Linked DNA regions of Stegostoma tigrinum. The protein of the gene in region 1 purifies or fractionates together with the protein of each later gene. This does not show direct contact. Links are inferred from orthologs where the notes say so. Each region holds a gene or a part of one and is shown on either strand. Other genes may lie near its edges.

What was found. The genes of interacting proteins can lie anywhere in the genome.
Region 2: the proteins of plk1 (region 1) and ankrd28b purify together in Homo sapiens (affinity purification with mass spectrometry; 6 studies listed by BioGRID and IntAct, with this or other methods). This does not show direct contact. The link is inferred for Stegostoma tigrinum from reciprocal best matches to the Homo sapiens genes PLK1 and ANKRD28.

Annotation. Positions count from the first base shown.
Region 1 is NC_081376.1:22,425,857-22,432,879, reverse strand, and holds the start of plk1 (serine/threonine-protein kinase PLK1), read right to left. Parts: upstream 3,098-7,023; 5' UTR 2,928-3,097; coding exon 2,559-2,927; intron 1,810-2,558; coding exon 1,641-1,809; intron 1-1,640. UniProt on the Homo sapiens protein: Serine/threonine-protein kinase that performs several important functions throughout M phase of the cell cycle, including the regulation of centrosome maturation and spindle assembly, the removal of cohesins from chromosome arms, the inactivation of anaphase-promoting complex/cyclosome (APC/C) inhibitors, and the regulation of mitotic exit and cytokinesis.
Region 2 is NC_081355.1:102,767,222-102,774,681, forward strand, and holds the start of ankrd28b (serine/threonine-protein phosphatase 6 regulatory ankyrin repeat subunit A), read right to left. Parts: upstream 3,051-7,460; 5' UTR 1,835-3,050; coding exon 1,712-1,834; intron 1,289-1,711; coding exon 1,205-1,288; intron 1-1,204. UniProt on the Homo sapiens protein: Regulatory subunit of protein phosphatase 6 (PP6) that may be involved in the recognition of phosphoprotein substrates. Involved in the PP6-mediated dephosphorylation of NFKBIE opposing its degradation in response to TNF-alpha.

The DNA.
Region 1 (7,023 bases):
CTATTGGCAATATCCACAGCCCAGATGACCCTTTTGCTAGATTGGGATTGCCTATTCTAGAACCATGTACATGCAAAACCACCAACAAATCCAGGGAGGTTTGGGCCAGCTCTTGAGTTTTATAGTCAGGAATGGGATACAATAATCTAGAAAAATTAAGCTAGCGTTTAACTGCTCAACTTCTCTATTCATCTTCTGTTAAAATGAAGACGCACAGGGCAGCATAGTAGCTCAGTGGTCAGCTCTGCTTCCTCACAGCACCAGGGGCCTGGGTTCAATGCCACTTTCAGTCTGTGTGGAGTTTGCACATTCGCCCAGTGTCTGTGCAAGTTTCCTCTGCGTGCTCTGGTTTCCGCCCACAGTCCAAAGATGGTCAAACTACCTAACATGCACGGGGGAAATGCAGGGTTACAGGGATAGGGTAGGCAAATGGCTTTGGGTGGGATACTTTCTGAAGGGTCAGTGTGGACCTGTTGGGTCAAATGGCCCATTTCCTCACTGTAGGGATTCTAGTTTCATACGATGCACTTCTGTTGCAAAACTAAGTGTCTCCATCAGATCAGCTGAGGAGTTGCAGTAGAGGTTTAATTTGGATAAATAAATGTGAGGTGCTGGTGCTGGTAAGGCAAATCAGGGCAGGTCAGTTGTACACCTAATGGTAAAGCCCTTTTGAGAGTATTGCCAAACAGAGAGGCCTTGGGTTGAAGGCTCATAGCATAGAAGGTGGAGTTGCAGGTAAACCAGGTAGCGAAGGTAGAGTTTGGTACACTTGCCTTATCAGTCAGTGCAATGAATATCGGAGTTGGGAAGGTCATGTTGCGGCTGTACAGGATATTGGTGAGGCCACTGTTGGAATACTGGTCTCCGTGATAGAGGAAAGGGATCGTTCAGAAAAGATTTACAAGAATGTTGTTGGGTTCAGAGGGTTTGAGCTAGAGGAAGAGGCTGAATGGACTGGAGTTTTCATCCCCCAACCTGGACATTGGAACCTGAGGAATGACCTTATAGGAGATTTATAAAATCATGAGGGGCACAGATATAGTGAATCGCCAAGGTCTTCCCCCCCGCAAGGTATAGGAGTCCTAGATTGGAAGGCATAGGTTTATGGTGAGAGGGGAAAGATTTAAAAAGGGACCTATGGGGCAACTTTTTTTCCACACAGAAGGTGATGTGTGTATGGAATGAGCTGCCAGCAGTAGTAGTGGAGGCCGTCATAATTACAGCATTTCAAAGGCATCTGGTTGGGTGTATGAATAGGAAGGGTTTAGAGAGATATTGCCAAATGGGACTAGACCTATTTACGATATCTGGTTGGCATGGCTGGGTTGGACCGAACGGTCTGCTTCCGTGCTGTACAGCTCTATGACTAAGTGACTGTTGGCTTCATGAACTGGCTAAAGACTATCGACAACCGACTGCAATGCTTTACCTATTTAACAATGAACACAGCAGGCCAAGCAGCATCTCAGGAGCACAAAAGCTGACGTTTCGTGCCTAGACCCTTCAAGGTTCTAGGCACGAAACGTCAGCTTTTGCGCTCCTGAGATGCTGCTTGGCCTGCTGTGTTCATCCAGCTCCACACTTTGTTATCTTGGATTCTCCAGCATCTGCAGTTCCCATTATCTCTTATCATGCTTTACCTATTTTCACTTCCATATCATCATTGAGGAAAAGATTGCCAAGCTTGAGATCTCGATGAATAACGTTGTTATCGTGCAGATATTGGCTGCCCAGGATGACTTGCTTCAGGTAATACCGGGCCTCGGGCTCAGTGACAGCCTTCCGCCTCTTGTGCAATTCTAGTAAAGACTGAATGTGACAATTAACTTGTGATCGGTATTAAAAGAAAACCAGTTCACTTTATAAACAAAATTAAAGAAAAAAACAGTATTGAACTTTTGGCCGCAGCCGATCAGTAACACAAGGCAGTGCCAGCTGACAGAGGAGAGGAGAATCACCAGCTAGACTTAGGGTAGCAACTGTGGCTTTACCGAACCATTTGAGGAATTAAACAGAGTGAGGAGTGGAGATGGGAATAGCACGAAACAGGATCAGACCAACCAGGGGCTGCTCCTTCTGGCTCGCAAGGCCGAAGCTCCGCCTTCTTTAATACGAGGCACCCGCCAGCCAACCGGCTCCGAGCTGCCGCAATTTTAAATACAAACCCCATTTCAACTAAAAAAGACAGCAGCGGGCAGCCCTTCAACCTGGATGGGGGGGGGGGGGGGGAAGAGAACGGACAGGCTGAGCGCTGCCCAGGCCCAGGGCCCTGAGCTGCTGTACCCGGTCTGACAGTGTCCAGTTCCCCCACCTGATCGGTGCCACTTATGGGTGAGACCCTCCCCCAGCCCCAAATTGTTACAGTTGGTTCCAATGGGAGAACGCTCCGACTCGGCTCCATTCACCGGGATCCTTTGTCCCGCAGCTCTTCCCTTCCTCCGCTTACAACCGTCGATCCCGGGGGGAAGAGAGGGGGTGGGGGACGCGGCGGTCAGTATAAACCGGTGCCAGCAGCTCCCGTCAATTCTCCCCCCCACTCCTCAACCCGAGGCACTCACCCTCCGCCTGCATAGCTCCAGGACAACGTAGACGAAGTCATCGTCCTCGAAGAAGCCGTGGAAGCCCACCACGTTGGCGTGATTGAGGCTCTTGTGTATGGAGATCTCCATGGACATCTTCTCCCTCTGGTGCGGCTTCATCAGCAGCGTCTTGGGCACGATCTTCCCGGCGAACACCTCGTTGGTGTCCATGTCGGAGATCTCGTAACACTTGGCGAACCCCCCTTTGCCCAAGAAACGGCCCCGCACGTACCTCTTCATGGTCTTGGGGTTCACCAGGATGTCGGGGATCTCCTTGGCCACCGGAGCGACGACCGACGGGGCCGCAGACCCCGGCTTGGCGGACGGTTTACCGGCCACCGTGGTCATTATTTGACCGGTTCACAGTGCAGACAGGGGGAATGGGGAGAATGGAGTGCCAAATCGAAGTTGAGCAGGGTCTTCTCCGAGTCTGGTTAAAAAGTCGCTGCAAACCGTGTCCGTCCCAGGCCAGATGCTCGGGGGCTCTGATTCAAATCTGGAGCGTCGACAGTTAGCAAGCCGTGCGCCGCTCCTGATTGGCCAATTGTATTTAAATAGAACCCGAGGGCCCGGCTGAATGCCGGGAAAGAACGGTTTAAATGCACCGTGCCGGCTGCTTGGTGACTACGCTGAATGACAGCACCTTCCACCAATCACAGCCGACACCCCCAACCTGTCGGTTCGTTTCTGAGCAACGGAAGGAAAGGGCTGGGATTCGAGCTGCGACCCCCACCCCAATCCCTCCACGTTCTCAAAGCTACCCAAGCATCTCAGTCTGCCCCAGGCTTCTGAAGGCATTGATTGGGTGTAGGACTTCCAAAGTTACTGCTCAGTTGGGAACATCCTTGCCTGAGAGCCTTAAACAAAATAAAATTAGATTAAATGCCTTAAATCGGGTGCTTGTGCACTCCACCTTAGAGGCTCTGGAGCTATAATCCAGACTGACATTGACAGAGATGCTGTTTTACAGATGCGATTTTAAATAGAAACCCTGTCTACTCTCTCAAGCGGACATTCTGGGATTCACCTGGTTCTTTTCCTAACTATTGTGAGTTACATGCATCCTTCCACTTCCACACGATTAGCTCTGATGACCCTCAAAAATCTATTTACACCCCCTTCTTGCCTACATGTTCTCTTTTAGCAGCATCTTCAGAAAACAGGGTTACTTACTAATGCTGACGATGTCCAGCTCTAAGTTGCTAGCACTTTGTTGATTCCTGTATTTCCAATTTGTCAAATTCCATAACTGACATCCAGTAAAGTACAGGTAGAAATTTCCTCCTATTAAATATTGGGGACACAAAAACTCAAACGTAGAAATTAAAAGTTGATTGTATTAGTTTTAAACACATTAATAGGAAAAACTGATTAGCAAGTTTGAGACTCTAGGACTGGTGGCATAGAAAGAAAACTTGGAGGCAGACTTTCAGAAATTACATTAGGAAATACTTCTCACATTAAAGGTAGTAGCAAAACTCTCTTCTACATCTAGCAATCAATACTAAATTAATTTATAATTTCAAAACCGAGATACAGTTTGTCTAAGTGGCAGAGTAGCCTGGGTTTGGATTTGCCCACATGGGACTTTCAAACATTTTCACAATCTTTCCTCAATCTGTTTTATTTGCTCCCTGCCCCCAATTCCTCTTCCCGCTCATGTCTGAGCCTTGGAATTTTTGACCTCTGAAACCCTTATTCACGCCTTCATTACCTCTAGATTCAACAATTCCTGCATACTTTTGGTTGGCCTCCCACATTCTACCCTTGCAACAACTTAAATTCACCAAAATCTCTGCTGTTTGTGTCCTTAATTGCAACAAGTCTGTTTAGCTAATACCTTGTCTTTGCTGACCTAAACTATTTTCTGGTCCAGTAAAGCATTAAATTAAAAGAAATCTTATCTTTATTTACAGATCCTCAATTGCATTGTTCAGCCCATCTTTATAATCTCTGCCAATCCCGTAACTCTCCAACAGACCTGTATTCATCTAAGGTAGGCTGAGGAATGGCTTGATTTTAATTGTTCCATTCTTAACTGTCCTTTGTCATCTTATCAAAGGTATGATATCAATGTAAGTACGTTAAAAAATGGGATGTGGGTATTGCTGGTTAGGGCAACATTTATTGCCCATCCCCAAGAGACAGTTAAAAAATCAATCACATTGCTGTGAGCCTGGAGTCACATGGGCCATACTAAGTAAGGATGGCAGTTTCCTTTCCTAAAGCATATTAGCCCAAATCGGTTTTGCCAAAACAGTGACATAGTCATCAATTGACTCTCAATTCTGGATTTTTATTAATTTCAATTTGCACGATCTACCATGGCAAGATTCTAACCCAGTTCCTCAAAACATCATCTGTCTCTCTGGGTTAATAGTCTAGGGCTAATGCCATTAGGTTGTTACCACTCCGTTATGCTCAGTTTTGGTCATTTTATTTAAGCAGGGACACTATCGCTTTGGAGGCAGTTCAGAGAAGATTCACTTGGCTAATTTCTGGTCTAAAGGAACTTGTCATGAGGAGAGACTGTGTAAGTTGGTTTGAATGCATTATAGTTTTGAAGAATGAGACACATCTTTTTGAAACTTCTAACACTACAGGAACATTGCAAGGTAGAAGCTGAAATAATGTTTCCTAAGTGTGTCGTTTCAAAACAAGGGCTCACCTATTTAACGCAGAAGTAAGATAATATAATTTATTTCAATGCTGTTAACATTTGGAATCCTCTCCCCAACGAGTATTTTTCAAGGCTTAGTTAGATCGTTGGTTGACAAGGGATCAAAAATTATGGGAGAGGGGCAGCAGAGTGAAGATATGTCTATATTAGACAACCAATAATCTTCCTGAGAGACACAGCAGGCTTGAGGGGACTAACGGCCTACTCTACCCGTATTTCTTACATCCTGAAGGCAGGTGACAGTTTGGTCTGTACCAAGAATGGGGCATACTAAGATGGTGTTTTGATCCTTACTGAGGATACAGCATGTTAAGGTAATGCTTACTGCACAGAATGGGTAAGGCAGGTTAGGATCATGCAAGATCAACTTCAGTTTCCTTTGCTCATTAAAGATCTCTTAGGATACAGGTTAGGTTGTTTCTCTAACCTGTCTGGCTGCCACTCAGTCTGAGGCAAATTTTGCCAAAAAAAAACAAAAAACAAAAAAACCCAACAGATAGCCCACACAGAGCCACTCAGATCAATTTAACACACAGACTGGAACATCTTTAAGTCAGTACTGTTTGATTTATTGGCTCCGAGAAATTAGTTGGTACCAAAAGGGTCCTGAAAAACACTCTGGGTAGCCACACCACATAGATGTAGCAACTCACCACCACCTTTCCAAGTGCAATTTGGGATGGCAAAAAAAATCTGGTCAAGCCAGCAAAATGCTGCATTATGTGAAAGAACAAGAAAAACTGAATAGGAGAGAATAAAATAATGAGCTATTCATTGAATAATGATCAAAGGTGCAATATAAACAGAGCAGTATACTGTCAGAAGTGCCATTTTTCAGATAATGTAATTAACTGAAGCAAATATTTACACTTGCATGCCATTACTTGAAGAAAAACAAAGTGTCATGGTCATCACTAGTAAATATCAACTACACTTACAGCTTACATGTAGTTTTCAACACAGCAAGTTATTGCATTCAAAAGCAAAATATTTTATTTTACATTGTTTCAGAATTGTAGTTTGCCATATTATCGAACCCTACACTCCTTCAGCTATGGCTTCCTACACATTGTCTAAACTTATCACCTACCAACAGTGTGGACCCCAACTCCTGAAATCTCTCCCCAAACTTTTTTAATTTCCACAAAAAGTTGTTAAAAGTAGGTTTTGAGCCATCTAGTTCAATACTTTATGTCCTTGTTGTCAACTTAGATTCAGTTACTGAAGTGTTTTGAGATTTTACTGTAGTAAAAGGTAGTATAAAAGATCATTACTTAAGATTTGGCCTGCTCAATTCCCCTTATCCTCTGGGTGGTTCTCTTGGCTCACTGAGGGAGCATATGAAACACGGCAAGATGTAAGACTACTCCAACTGTGGCCTGGTCATGCTGCACAGTCATCACACTGGGAAGACTCCCTTGTCAACCAAGAATACAACTAAGCCTTGGTAAATACTCACAATGGAAAGGATTCCAAAACAGCCAGAATAGCACACTCAAGCAGCCTATCTTTTAAAAATTTCCACTGGCACCAGCAGCAGTAACTGAGGTTAAACAGAATAGCCGTTGGGAGACAAGGTCAAGAAAAAAAAAATATTCAAACTTCGTGCTTCTACTGCAGCGACTTTCTCAATGTAATACAAATATTTCTTTCATAGTTAGTTGAAAAATACGTAAATATTTGAGAATGAAAAAAGAAGCAGCAGGATAATTGGAAAAATGGAACTGCTTTTGTAGAGAATTGTCACTGACACAGTGAGCTGAA
Region 2 (7,460 bases), on another chromosome or scaffold:
TGACTTATCAACGAGGGGTCAAAACGATATCTGGCATGACTCGTATTCTTCCTCAGAGAATAAATAAATGTCTGCTGTAGAGAATTTGGATCTAAGTCTGTTTCAATTTAGTAAGAATCAAAAAGTCTATGTTCAAAACATTAGACACCACAAAACTTGTTGTATGTAAAGCACAGAAAATTTAAATAGGAAATATTATATTTTATAATAGATACCAGCAGATGGATGTATAAAAATCTGTTCTGTTCTGAACGTCCATTGGTCTGTATATATGAAGTTGAAGACATACAAACAGAGTACTCCCAAACATTATAAAACACTTTTTGCAGCTTAATAGAGGTCACAAAAATGGTAACTGCCATAACTACTGTTGGTGTTTCTAGAATCATATTTAAATCTCCTCCCAACCACTTCTATGTAAAAATTGGGAACAAGAGAAAAAATATGCAAACGTTCAAATTTATCAAAGATCAAGGATGGAACTTAAACATTTGACTCCTGCTTTTAAAAACTGGTCTCCAGGTGACCGGTTTGGAATTTTGCTAAGTATCGCTGCAACAAATAGCAAATATCCAACTTAAAGTCTTTTTAAACAAGTAATTTCATCGAGGATATTTGGCATATTTTTCAATAGGAGGCACAGGTATTCCTTTAGCAAGCCACAGGAAGTCCTTGAGAGCATCCTGATGAGACTCAGTAACCAAATTCCTCATCTGCTTATATATACAAAAGGGAAGTGAAAGCAAGATTGAGGAAACCGGTTTTGATACACTAAATGGTTTAATCAACATGAACAATCAGCTACACTGGTTAGCAAACCAAGCTAGCCTACTAAACCATTAGAATGTATGGAAATATGTAAACTAAAAAGGAAAAGAAATTCCAGATACGGATGCATAATGTCATAAGAGCCATATGTCCTGAATTAGAATTTCTGACGTATTATAACAGGTATTCATCCTGAAAATTTCATTAATTTTGTTCATCAATAGATACATCAAGTAACACTAGGTAGAACTGAGACAAGAGTACTGATGATCTCTTTTAGCTTTTCAAGTCACTTCTGTAGCAACTGAAAACCGACAGGCTTTGAACAGTTTAGTGATGCACAAGGACACCTGTTGGGTGGGGGAGTTGGTGGACGTGGTGGTGATGGCGGTGGTTTGAGGGGATGGTCGCAGGCAAACAATTAAATTACACGTACCTGGACATTAACATCCTCCTTTTTGAAAATGAGACTGCGGACTTCATCAGGATCTCCATTAAAAATAGCTTGAACCAGTGGCGGCTGCAACATTGAAAGAAACTTAAGATTATACAAATATAAAAATATTTATATGACTGTGACATCACTAATTGACAAATATGGACCACATATATCACATAACTGTATGTAGGGTCCCAAACACTCAAATATCAGTGGGAAATGGAATAAGCAGTATGAATTTTCTCTAAGTGTGGTCTATATTCCTAGAAACTGTTGATACACAATTCAATTCAAAATGTCAATACATGCAACTTTCTCAGCTTATGTCAAACAAATGCCAAAAACCAAACTTTAAGATGCAAATGTTTGGACTCTGCATATTTTTTTTTCATATTACAAATTTATATTAAGAAAGCAGATAAAACCTGGATTTGCACATCTTATCAGTGTGAAGCTGATGCAATACTTTTGCAGGTATGATTAGACAAGCTGAGATATGCTCACCCTTCCATCTTCAGGTGGAAGTGACTTTGATGCATCCTCGTACTTTTCCTGAAGCTTTTTAGAAGTAATAACAGGAGAATCATCGTCCACCTCCTCCAGTACAACAATACACACTCGGCTCATCCGATCCCCTGTTTCCACACTACTTTCGTAATCTTTGATTCACAAACAACACTTGCACGTTTTGATGGAAAATAACAATCCTATTGTCACTGAGAACAAGTGACTATGCTAGAGATTTATGCCAGTTTTATCCATATGGTTTACATAAGTAGTTCCGGAGTAAACTCAGCGCTATTGCCAACACACACACTGATACTGCTGAGCTGGTTCCTTATTTGACAGAGTAGCCTCTATGCAGCGTAGCTGTTGTTATGGGTGACATGACACCATTCCTTAAATAGAAAAGCAGGCAAATCATGTAGTTTAGATTTTCAAATGATTTACAGAGAGAGAAACTGAGCATTTTCCATATCAGAAGGCTTCAAGACTTCTTTTCCCAATCAACAGATTTTCGTCAGGCTGAAGCAGTATCCAGGAGAAAGTACAAAACAATTTCAAATGAAAATTCATTTAATTAACTCCACTGCAGTGTAATTAAACACAGGCCAGATGAGAGTGAGAGCACAACAGAGAGAAAGAGGAAAAGGACAGAAAGAAACCATGAACAGAAAATAAACAGGATAGCCCATACAACAAGGTGGGCTATACAAGTGTGACCCAGAAACAAAATACATCTATTACTCCATTGGCGATTGTGCTGTGCCGAGCAGTCACTTTTCTCCAGCAGCTAGTCACTGCAGAAACTCCGACAGGCAATTCAATGAGCTGGAAACATGTAGGCCAGTTCACTTCAACAAATAAGAAACTGGAATTATCCTGAAAAATCTTGAATACAGAAATCCAAGGCAGCAGTCACTGAATTTCCTTCAGATAACTGACGCAAGTACAGGAGCTTCAATCTTCAATACTGTGACTGTAATAAAAAAGCCGCCGTCTGTGGTATTTTCCCATGTGCTTGAAGTCAAGCTTCTGTCAGTCTGCCAATTCAAGTTGACAATCCAGAACTGCTAGTTTCCTGCTTTAGGGATCAATTATTGTTTCACCGAATCCAATCCATAACCTAAAAAGCAGTCAGCAGATATCCAAAGCATAGCCACCATTTCAGCTTTATATATGCTGAATGCAGACAGAGCAGCAGAATTCTGGTAGCTTCTTCTAGCGTGCTGCTTTCTGGCTGCCCTTGCAATTTCAACTGCATGCCAGAGATGTGAATAAATTACTTGTCTGACGTTAAGGCAGCTTTATTGCAGAATAGCTGCAAGTTAACAGTTTCCATTCAAAGCTGCAAGGGAAAATGGTTTGTTGGCTTTGCTGACTCACTACGACAGGGAGGGTACAACATTATGAGTAATCCTTTATCTGTTTCACTTTTTTAAAAAGGCAATTAACAGTACTTCTTCCGTACAGTTCCCAGAGGTCTAAGAATGCACAAACATGGATAACTTCAAAACGGTTAACATTTCTTAAATCATTGCTCAAATGTCAGAAACTCTCAATGTACTCATAAAACTATGGCTGCTGGTGAAAACTGGCAAATAAAATTTAATTTCCTACAGATATTTGGCATGTAGTACTTTGGGCAACTGTCTAACAAATTCTACTTACAGAGGTCCCCAACATTTTTTAAAGTGGGTAATGAACAGACAATTGATTCAGTAATATGATTCTTTTGGGGGGGAAAGAGGGCCGTGAAAAACCTGTAAACACTTTACAGAAAAAAATGTGGTCTTGAACTTCACCCCAGTTTTGCTACTAAATACCTGGGAAAACCAATTTTTAAGCATGCAACCTGCAAATATTACAGTACAGCAAACATAAGACACTGTGGGATAGATTTTAATTCAAATTAAATCTCTTGTATCAGAATGATTGAATAGATGATGACAAAGTTTTACATGATATTTCTTTCTCATTATAGATGAAATAAGAAAAATGGGTGTACCTGCCCCAAATTTTCTATGCTTTTTGCTTTAGTAGTCAAGGGAGTAGGCCATCATGGCATTAGAAAGTTCTATCAGCTTATCTTACCCTGAAAGCTAACTTTCCTCTTAACAAGTGGAAATATAGACATGATAAATCAAACATTAATCTCACCAAACTATATCAGTTGCTATGCTAAATGCCACATTAGATTTTATACTTGGTTCAATTAATTTTCAATTTTATTTTTAAAAAAAATCTCAGCTTCAATATCCAAGTCTGATTAATTCCAATCCCCATTCGTTGGAGCTAATCCAATTCAGTCGGCAAGTTGGAATGTCCCTACAATGCCAGAAATGTCCTGCCTCTCATTAATTTAAAAAAATTACAATACTATCTTAATTATAGGTAGGTATGCTTTTCTAGTCTCAAAATTTACAAAAAAAGCATGAATCGTGTCACCTATTGGTGCTGTCAAGAAATCGTTCAACACAACTGCATCTTTACCAGCTTTGGATATCTCCCAAGATGGGTGCTCGAAATTTTTATCATTAGTTAAGATCACGGTAGTAGCCACTGGTGTAACAACACTGGCTTCACAAAATGGTAATTGAAATTAGAAAACATTATTTGCATACTTCCCAATAAAACTCCAAATATCCTTAGAGAGATTTTCAACCTTAAGGACCCTGACATAAACATGTAAATATATGAAAATTCAAAGGCCAAACATCCATAAAGCAAGCAAGATTTTGGGCTACGTACCATTAGAATTTTAGCTGAAGGGACAGAAACAAAACATTTATCGCATAGATGGTATAAATTATATTTTCTCCTAAGCTCTTACGTTCAAAACAACCACAGTTGATCTGATCTTTCCTCAAACAAAATTCACCAATCTATGCAACAACTTTGTAAATTTCTTCAGTACCCTCTGCAGTACAATCACATTTCTCTTGCAACACAGTTACCAAAACTGCATTTGGTACCGCAGATGAGAGGAATTACATATAGTTTCAGATTAACTTCCTTGACATTACATTTGTGCCTCAGCTATTAAAGTAAGTTTCCCTTACTGTTGCTTAAACAACTTATCTTCCTGTCCTGACACCTTGGACTCCAAGGTTCCACTTCTGTTAATCTGCAATTCAGTACACTCCCTTTTACGACATAATCTCTTGCTTTGCTTCCACCTCAAATACATCAGGCTTGCTCTTTTCCTTGACGGAAATCGACTGAGTTATATATTGAATTAGTTTTGGGTTCACTTTTTAAAATCCATTAGATTCAAATAATCCTTCATATTGTTTAGGAATTTATTAAGTGTAGTAGTTGGGATGTCGTGTTGTGGCTGTACAGGATATTGGTGAGGCCACCTTTTGAATGCCAAATTCAGTTCTGGGCTCCCTGCTACAGGTAAGATGTTGTTAAACTTGAAAGGGTGCAGAAAAGATTTACAAGGATGATGCTGGGACTGGAGGGTTTGGGCTATAGAGCGAGGCTGAACAGGCTGGGGCCTTTTTCCCTGCAATGTCAGAGGCTGAGTGGAGACATTCTAGGGGTTTATAAAATCATGAGGGGCATCAACAGGGTGAAAAGTCAAGGTCTTTGTGGGGGGGGGGGGGTCCAAAACTAGAGGGCATAGGTTTAAGAAGAGAGGGAAAAAAATTAGAAAGGGCTGGTGGGTGGTGTATGGATCGCGTGTATGGAACGAGCTGCCAGAGGATGTGCTGGAGGTAGTACAATCACGACATTTAAAAGACATCTGGGGGTACATGAATAGGGATGATCTGGCAAATAGGACTACATCTGTTAAGGATGCTCGGTTGGCGCAGTCAAATTAGACCACACAGTCTGTCTCCATGCTATATGACTATGTAAACATACCTACTGCTCAATCGAATGGCCGCACAAAATATCAACAGTTGATTCAAATTCAAATCAATCTCTCCTTAAATAATATGATGTCCGAGTAGTCAGGTGAGGGTGAGAGTGAGAAGGTGCCTTGCTAATAAGTTTTATTTAAGGCAAAATTGAATTATTTAAGTGATTTACGCTGTAAATAAAATATAACAGTGATGTGTATACCCCCTGCATTATGTTTCCAGTACTTAGTTTGTATTTTTACATAGATAATCAAGAGGTCCTTGTAATCAAAAATATTTGGTCAACCGGCACACTCTTGGTCCCATAGGCGCTGGTTAATAAAACGTTTGCAGTACTTTGGATTGGTAAGGGTGTCAAGGGTTACTGGCTGCAGAAAGAAAAGTAGTATTGAGATGATAATCAGCTCAGCTATGTTCTTGCCAAATGGCAGAGCAGACTCAAAAGACTTAAGACTGCTTGAATTCATTACACAGAACGCTTGCAAAGATTGCAAGCACTTATCCTGGGCTGTACTTCAACAAGTTCTCAGATGCAAAACTTCACATAGACAAAAAAAATTAGCAATCACACAGTGAGAAGACCATCACGACTGGCTTAGTTAAGGGGGCAGGTGGCTAAGAACAGAAGTGGAAATACGGACAATTATTCATTTTGATTAATTTCACAAAGTGACAAAAGTACCAGACATCAGCTTCCTATTCCAAATCCATAGATTTTACATCCACAATGACTTACACTGCTTGAAAAGATGATAATACCAAGCCCATTTTCATTACACCAAAAAGGGATTTCAATTTGGTAGAACTATTAGACGCTTTAAGTACTGATTTGTTTCCAATCAATTAGATTATAACTTTGAAACTATATAGTACAAATGCCAAGTTTCTAAGCTTCTACTATATTGATGTATCTGCACAAATTTCTAAAATACATGCAGCCAATGGTAAACTTCAGTGTAAGTCTGTTATACTAAAGCAATCTGGAAGAGCTTATAAATCAAGTCTTCAATGCTCCCTCCATTACAGCACTGTGGGGTGCACTGACACTGCATAGGGTGCAGTGGTTCAAGAAGGTAGTTCAGCTCCATATCCTCAAGGCAATTAGAGATTAGCAATATGTGCTGGCCTAACCAGTGGCGCCCACATTCCGAGAATAAATACCAAAAAAAAATTGTAAATTCTGTACAACATGAGACACATACAAGGCTATTGCAATTTTAGCCATTGACAACATTTTGTCAAATTGTACATTAGGAAAACAGTTAAACTTCCCAGCTGCATGATTCACTTTCTGTTAAATGTTACCCATACATGTATTTTGAATGAGTCAGAGTTTCAAAACCAAATTACCTCCATAATAGATTACATTTTATCTTGCAAAAATAAATAAGGAATCCCAATCCCAGACAAGCTGAGTTTACAATTTCCAAATTTCAACTTCAGCCAAAAATGCACTGCCTCAATAAGTAATTTGATAAATATATCTACATCCTTCACAAATTTATTAGTTTCTGAGAATGAAGTCTATGATAGGTGTGACTTCGATGACTAGGAAATCCCCATAACTGATTATCTCAGCTATGAAACACACAAAATATTTTGAGAGTTTCCAAACCTCAAAGAACTGGAATTTAGCAGTTTAAAAAAAAAACAGAATGTGTTGCTCTAACAAACCTTTAAGCCATATTCATCCTGGCAATCTAATAACGACAAATTTCAGGTTGAATGAACAAGACAGCTCCGTAACCACCGGTCAGAAGATTTGCTTCATGATGCTGTGGAGATAGCGGCATATAGTACACTGCAGTAAAATCAGCTTTGCAATAAGAAATCATTTCAGCCAATTTTCAAGCAGACTTTCATTGGGCTTTTACAAATTG